Linked DNA regions of Cricetulus griseus. The protein of the gene in region 2 purifies or fractionates together with the protein of the main gene of each other region. This does not show direct contact. Links are inferred from orthologs where the notes say so. Each region holds a gene or a part of one and is shown on either strand. Other genes may lie near its edges.

Region 1 (3,565 bases), on a different chromosome or scaffold from region 2:
GAGCCAGGGTGGGGGAGGGGGTGTCGTCTCAGACCGAAAACCTCAGTCCCTCCTCATTCTGCCTGGCATTGTAGTCATAGCCACATAACTTCTCCATCCTTACAGCATTGTCACATGTAATCTCACTTACATGCAGAGCATTTCTGATATGTGGGCCATGGTGAAACAAATGACAGATGTGGTATTGGCACCAGCAACTGATGCCCTGAAGAGCCGAAACAGTGTAGAAGTGCGCATGGAGTTTGTCAGGCAGGCCTTGGGATACCTTGAGCAGAGGTGAGGTAGCTGTGCTCTCTCTCTCTCTCTCTCTCTCTCTCTCTCTCTCTCTCTCTCTCTCTCTCTGTGTGTGGGGGGGGTGGGGGGGGGGGGTGTTGGCTTTCACTTTCCCTAAAATCACCTGTTTCTCAAGTCTTATGTGGTTCTGGGGCGGAGTGTGCTGAAACTGGAGTACTTTAACCTGACTGGTATGAGGTAATTCTGTTGTCAGAACACTTATCTACCAGGACTGTTTCTGCAACTGATAAAAAATCATACATGGGAATGGTGGTAAGGGGGAGCTGTTGACCTCTTTTACTTCTCTGCCCTTCACATTTAATGTAGAGGCGTGTTGATTAGAATATAATGACTTGCATCATAATCCTGTTTTCCTAATATGACTCAGCATTTTCTCCCCAGGTTCCTTTGTTTTCTTACAGCATTTTAACTCACCCTTGCAATATGACAGCTTTGAAACCTTAGGAAGACCCTCCTGACGCTACCCAGTTAATCCCGAGTCAGGCTCTGTGAAGCTGCTGAGGCCAGTGCTTTGTGTCTGGGCTGGGTTGCTGAGGGCTTTGTGGCTATGTCCTCTTAGGACCTGTGCCATTCATCCTTCTTTGTGGAACTCTGGAATCCCAGCAGGATTCCAGACCTGTGCAGCAGACCCCATGCTAGGGACAGAGCACTGGGCATCAGCCTGCTGGCTTGAGAAGAGCTTTGTCAACAAAATAATACTTGGATAGGAAGTTCCTTGAGGGAATTCAGACTGATGCTGCTGTTTCATATCAGATTCTATGCTAATTACACCTTAGCTACATGAAGAGAGCACCCTCCAGTTTGTACTCACTCGCCTCCATTCTATTAAATCTGGAATTTAAAAAGGCTTTGGTTTTCGTTTTTTAATTTCTCTAGTCTGTGTGTAAAGATTTTATAAAGTAGTTCTTCAGACTTTGGCTAAACTTATTTTTCTCTTTAGTTTATATTTTTATTTGTATGGTTCTTTGGCCTGAATGTTTGTGTATCACATAGGCGCGGTGTCTATGGGGGCCACACGAGGGTTTTGATCCCCCTAAGACCGGAGTTACAGATGGCTGTGAGCCACCATTTGGGTCTCGAATTGAACCTCAGGTCCTCTGGAAGAGCAGTCACTGCTCTCAACTGATAAGCTATCTCTCCAGCCCTGTAGGCTAAACTTTTGAGATGGAGGTTTGGTTGTATTGATCACCAACCATAAAGAATCTAATTTAGTAACATTTATTCATTTTAGTTGGCAAACTGAGCCAGATTTTCATACACCATATAAAAATCTTAAGGAGTTAAAAATAAATAAATAAATTTGAAAAATGCTTTCCCTGACAAACTTAATCTTTAAACTGGAGCTTCAGTCACAAGGCTGCATCCCTGTTTATGTAACCCATTTTATTATTTATTGCACTTAGTTTTTTTAAAAAATATTTTTAATTTTTTTAGATGTATTTATTTTATGTGTGTTTTTCCTCCAAGTACCCACGTGCACCATGTGTGTGCCTGGTGCCAGTGAGATCAGAAAAGGGCACTGGATCTTCCGGAACTAGAGTTACAGACAGTTGTAAGCCTCCATATGGGTGCTAGGAATCCAACCCAGATTCTCTGTAAGAACGGCAAGTTCTCTTAACTGCTGAACCATCTCTGCAGCCCCTAATTTAATGTTTTTATTCTTTGCCCGCTCTCTAGCCTGACTTTTGGAACTGTCTGAAGGTCCTGTCCCGCTAACAAAGCCTGTCTTTATCTTTGGAACAGCATCCCTCTCTGGCAGCATCCTTTTCAAAGCTTCCTAAGCTCCTGTTTGAATAACTGTACACCCCGTTACAGTATTTCTGTAGATGCTTTTCTGCTGACAGAATAATATAAAGTTTCAAGTTACATAATCTACCAGATGGTAAAGGAGACCTAGTTCCAAATATGTTTTTAAATGTAAGGCGAAAAATACAGGTTTGGTCTGTCCCTTCCATGTTCCAAGGCTTGTGGTAGGATATGTTTGTCTTGGTTCCCAGTGAGTTTAGGCTTCTTTAATTTAGGATCTTGCCAGCACGTAAGTTGTCGTACTGCAAGTTGGAGGAGGTAGTAGTGGGCATCTGTTTGTCCTGGCTGCTACAGAGTGCTCTGTTCTCTCGTCTTTGCTTTTAAATGAATGTAGTGGTGAGGAGAATGCATTGTTTAATTGCCTAATGCTTCTTTTCCATTACAGAACAATATGTGCTTTTTATAGGGATTTAGGAAAGTGTCAAAGAGAAGATAGGCACCATTCCTCACACCCAGAGGTGGCTCCTATTGCCCTGTGATAGTTCCCACCCTCTTTTGTCATGAATGTTTAGTTTAGTTTTACTTTTTCTACAGTTATGATCCAGATATATAAAACAGAGTTTTGCATAGCTCAACTTCTAGTTCTTTAGAAACCATTTTTTCTAACTATGTCAGATTCCACAATTTGTTCTCTGTAATTAGCCTTTAGGGTCATTCCTGGTTCTTGGGAGGTACATGGCTTAAATGATCCTAGGTTAGGTAGCCATGGTTTTTGTAACATTTTTAAATGCTTCTGGGAATAAACAAAATCATGTTCCTGTGTGCATTTGGGTGTCAGGTAGGACATGCAGAGACAGGAAACACACAAATGTCGCTACGGCTCATCTAGGTACGAAGGGATTCACTGAACTATTTTGACTTGCCTTGGAATTATTTCAAATTCTTTAAAATCAAAGGTTTTGTTTTGTCTTTTAAAGCAAACCCTTTAGAACATTAGGTTCCACCTTATGGTATTTGAAGCCCTCAGTTGTATTCCCCTGGGAATTCTTTGGGGTAACTGTAGTAAACATCCGTAGTGGAGAATGGAATTTGCTTCATTAAGCGTGTACTGTTTCCTCTTCTATATGGAATTTAAAATCCAGGCCTTGCCCATAGAGGAGTATTCTGGATGTGGACATAGATGTTGTAATGCAAGTTGTCAACCTTCACCACTTTGGGTTTTTTTTTTTTTTTTTTTCATCTTTCCAGTTATAAAAATTACACCCTTGTGACTGTCTTTGGAAATCTGCATCAGGCCCAGCTGGGCGGTGTGCCTGGGACTTATCAGCTGGTTCGAAGTTTCCTAAACATTAAACTGCCAGCTCCCTCACCAGGACTTCAGGTACTGGAAACCTCTCACGGTCAGACACACTCTGAAGCTGTTGGTTGTTCTCAGTTGAAAGGAGGTTCTGTGTGGCAAAGAGGCCATGGATGAGTGGGTGGGGCTGCTTAGCTTGCCATGTAGCTAGAGGATTATTTTACAGTG
Region 2 (4,190 bases):
AGAAGGAAGGTGGGCAAGTCAGAAAGAGCCAAGATGTGGAGCTCTACCTGGAAAATAGAGATGACAGCAGTATGATAGAAACAAGAGGAGACAGAAGTATAGGGTCAAACTTAGCAAAAGAAGACAGGCACATCAAGGTTGCAGTGACAACCAAGAGAAGAGACAAGGAGGCACAGGGAGGTGGGAGAGCCAACAATAGGTAACTGATAATTGGCCGGGGGCAGGATTCACTAGTCTCCTCCTTCTAACTGAATAGAGAAAGGCAATGAGTAGAAAGTCAAATCTTTTGTTTTTATTTCAACATTTGGGAAATGCTCAGTTGTGGCAGTAGTCCTATATTAAATAACTGGGACCAATAAAACTATAACCTTGCTTTAATTAGAAAATAGGGGTAGTTCAGTTAGAGCATGCACACACAGACACACATATAGACAACAACAGCAAAGTAGGAACTCAATAGCTGAGGCATGCTTTGTCTGTAGTAATACAGTTGATTTTTGTCAACACAGAGGGAACACATTAACAAATATGTGTACTACATTTTGGACGTGAGGGCACTGAGATACAGAGAAAAACACAGGTGAAGGAATATCTGCAAAGTCGTTTGACTGACGGGTGATGGAGTTGGGGCTGGAACACAGACAGCCTGGCTCCAGGATCTAGACTCACACCCGCTGGCTTCCTCACATGTATGAGGCAAGATAGGCAGAACAAGGCATGCCGAAAGTACCAAACAGGCCATTTCATGCAATGTGTGTACAGGAGAGATGAATGCTAGCAAAAATTCAGAAACATGCGTGGGTGCTCAGAGCAGTTAAAGTGGTGGGTGGGAATTCTGGAGGCAGTTTATGGGATGGTGAACCAGGGAGCTGAGGAAGGAAGTGTCTGGCTGGCTGTGTGGCCACATCCTAGCTCAACACACCAATAGGGTCCCATTCTCTCTACTTTTTCTTCCACCGCATCCCCTTCCCAGTCCAAATGGCTTCCCCATCAGAACTGCAGGGCACACAGGGATGAAAGAACCAGGCATGGGGTACAGGAAGAGTTATCTTAATGCCATGCCTTTATCTGTAAAATGACAGAGTACAACACCTGCTTTTATGGAAGGCTGTGGCATTAAGTGGAGTTACTGACTTGAGAAACAGTCCAGGAAATGGAGGAAGAATTGTTGTTTCTCATCATTTCAGCCACCCTTTCCATTTTCCTCTTCAACTCCAAAATCTTCCTTCCTCTTCCCAACTTACACCTGAGTTTCCATGTAACAATATTAACCTTGAAACCTATTCCTCAAACAGGACAGATTTTAAATACATTAGATCCCTTTCCCATGAGTGGTTTTGGGGTCCAACTGCTGTTGGTCCACTTTGGGAGAAACATCAAGTGACCAAATTCACAAGCATTTGGTGAAGCACACTAATTGTTCTGTTATTTTTCATTGCTGTTGTTAATGTTTTGCTATACCTAATCAATGAACTGAATGATGAGAGCCATATAGATTCAGGAAAGGCATGGCATGTATGGTTTTGGACACCTAATGTTTCAGACATCCAGTTTTGCCTAGGAATGCTTCCCTGCAATATGAGGGAGTGACTGCATGTCCTTTCTGCCTCTGGCCCAAGTTTATTTCCTATTAACACAAACTCTCACTCACCGAGGTTGACCGGAGAACTTGGTCATTTATTTCCATCTCTGGATGTTATTCCTCATCCATGGAAGAACTGGTTTCTACCTGGCTGAAATCTCTTTCCATCTCATTACCTATCATCTTTGTAACTGCCACCCACTGAATCCTGCAAACAGCACTCAGTACATGTGTTTCACAAACATGTCTTCTCTGAGTTAGGATTAACTGAAATGACAGATTTGCCACATGCCATCAGAATCCCTCTTGGCCTTGATGTCCCACCTCTTACCCTGTAGGTTCCGCATGGGCAGTTCTCTAAGCCCGGTTCTGTTTGTCCCATAGTTGGACAGGACAGCTAAGGCATAGGTGTTTTCATACAGAGTGTTCCCCCTGATGATCTGCAGGTTCTCCAGAGGGATCTTCTCCACAGTGTTGAGGGCAATGAGCACATAGCCAGCAACCTCCTGGATGGTCTGAGAGGGAAAACAAAGCCTATTAAAGTGGGCCCAGGAGCCCCATTTAACTTCACAATGACACATTCATGTGGCAGATAAATCTAAGACACATAGACAATCACATGTGGGTAAAGGTTGTGGCAGGATTTGCAATGATTTCTTTCACGTTTCATTTGAAGGTTACATTAAAGAACAGCTGATTGATATGTTGTGATTCCCACTTTAACTCAAATAAATGGAAGTGAAAATAACTATTTTGAATTCATCTCTCATGATTTCTTGTGGAAGGAAGAAGTGAGGGAGAAGGGGAAGAAAAAATGAAAAAGAAATAAAGGCAAAGTAAACCCAGCTGAAGTCCAAGTGTTTGCATAGCAGATTTTGAAGCCTTCAGAGTTGGCTCCTAATGGCTCACTAGGAATATTTAGGACTGTGGAACATCAGAAGGGTTTCTCTCCCATTTTCCCCCACAAGCAACTTGACTTTAGCTGGAAGAGTGGACTTCTCATAACACTCTCCTATAGTCCCTTGGATTTGTGGCTTCCATAAGATGAAGTATCCATGCCTCAAGTCAGATTCTACTGAGTGTTCATATTTCATTTGATAGTGTTTGAATAGGACAACCACATTAAACGAACTAACCTTTAAGAAGGAAAGGTCATAACCCCTTTGCACGTAGGTAATTTCCAAGTTCCCAAGGACCACTTCACAGTTGTTGAACATCCTCTGCAGGCTCAGAAAGTGGTCTTCAAAAGTGCCGAGTTGAGTGAGCCTGTTACTTGTGCCTTGGCAAACTAGAATAAAAGGGAAAGAGGTCTGTCAGAAGATGCCGAGTAAGGTAGCAAACCACAACAAAACAATACTCATCAGCTTTCTGAGCCACAGTGACTAACAATCATCTTTGATCAAAGCCACCACAATGCTGATGTGGTAAGAGATGTTTAAGTTTACACAGCTGTAATTCATCGTGAGACAGAACTCATCCCTGTGATGCAGGCAATCATGTGATATTAAGGACACAGAGAAAACAAAGCATTAAAAGTGGAAGGCGGGGGAGATGTAAATTGTATAGAGGATTGTATTAGTTACTTATTTTGTTTCTGTGGCAAATCACCAGACAAAATCCACTTAGTGAGGGAAGGGTTTATTTCAGCTTACAGTTCTAGGGAAGACAGTCAACTATGGCAGAAAAGGAATGGCAACCAAAATGTGGAACATCTGGTCACATTGCATTCACAGTCAGGAAGAAGAGAGAGGTAAGTACCTCTCAGCTCTCTTTCTCCATTTTAATTAGTTTGAGGACCCCAACCATGGAATGGTTCTGGCCACCTTTAGGGTAGAAATTCCCAAATCAATTAACCTCATCTAGAAAACTGTTCACAGATATGCCCAGATGTCTATTTCTATAGTGATTCTAAATCTTGTCATGTTGACAATCAAGTTTAACTGCAGAAGTCTCTAAAATAGAAAGATAGCAATTAAATTTCTGTGGATGACACAATTGCAAAATGAGTTAATAACAATGCAATGAACATTTTACTTCACAAAAATATGTGTGCTACATTGTTGTGTACACAAAGGGTCTCCAAAACCACAAGACACAATCGGCAATGTTTTCTAACCCCAATTCTATATACCTAAAAATCAATGAAAACAATGGAATTTTAAAAGTCAGCTGTTAGAAATTAAAAATACTCCTCAGAATCATTCAAGGACAAATCAAAGTTCTGATTATAGAATACCCAGAATTCTTTTTTAAACTGAAAAATAACGCTTTAAAGCCATAGGCTAGTAAGAACCCAACATGTCCTTCTGTCTTTTTTCACATTGTGTTATTCCAACTAACACAGGTATCCATGTTTGTCTTGCATCCCCGCCAATATACAGCCTGTCAAGACACAGACTTAATCCGAGAAAACATGCGAAATTAGGGGCCAAAGTTATACCACAGAAATGCACTCAGTAGTCTGCATTTAGAAGCAGAGGAAAGGATAGTAATAAAATGGTATTCACAACTTGGCTTTTGGGGAGACATGTTTAGGCAAGCAAAACAAAACAAAGAGGCTTGGAGCTTTTGAAGCAGGGAGCTTGTTAAAGGATATACTTTGAACCAA

What was found.
Region 1: the proteins of Egfr (region 2) and Nup93 purify together in Homo sapiens (affinity purification with mass spectrometry, with the first as the bait; 3 studies listed by BioGRID). This does not show direct contact. The link is inferred for Cricetulus griseus from reciprocal best matches to the Homo sapiens genes EGFR and NUP93.

Annotation. Positions count from the first base shown.
Region 1 is NC_048596.1:170,534,523-170,538,087, forward strand, and holds part of Nup93 (nuclear pore complex protein Nup93), read left to right. Parts: intron 1-136; coding exon 137-276; intron 277-3,288; coding exon 3,289-3,421; intron 3,422-3,565. UniProt on the Homo sapiens protein: Plays a role in the nuclear pore complex (NPC) assembly and/or maintenance. May anchor nucleoporins, but not NUP153 and TPR, to the NPC. During renal development, regulates podocyte migration and proliferation through SMAD4 signaling.
Region 2 is NW_023276807.1:89,407,787-89,411,976, forward strand, and holds the start of Egfr (epidermal growth factor receptor), read right to left. Parts: upstream 2,815-4,190; 5' UTR 2,800-2,814; coding exon 2,719-2,799; intron 2,098-2,718; coding exon 1,914-2,097; intron 1-1,913. UniProt on the Homo sapiens protein: Receptor tyrosine kinase binding ligands of the EGF family and activating several signaling cascades to convert extracellular cues into appropriate cellular responses.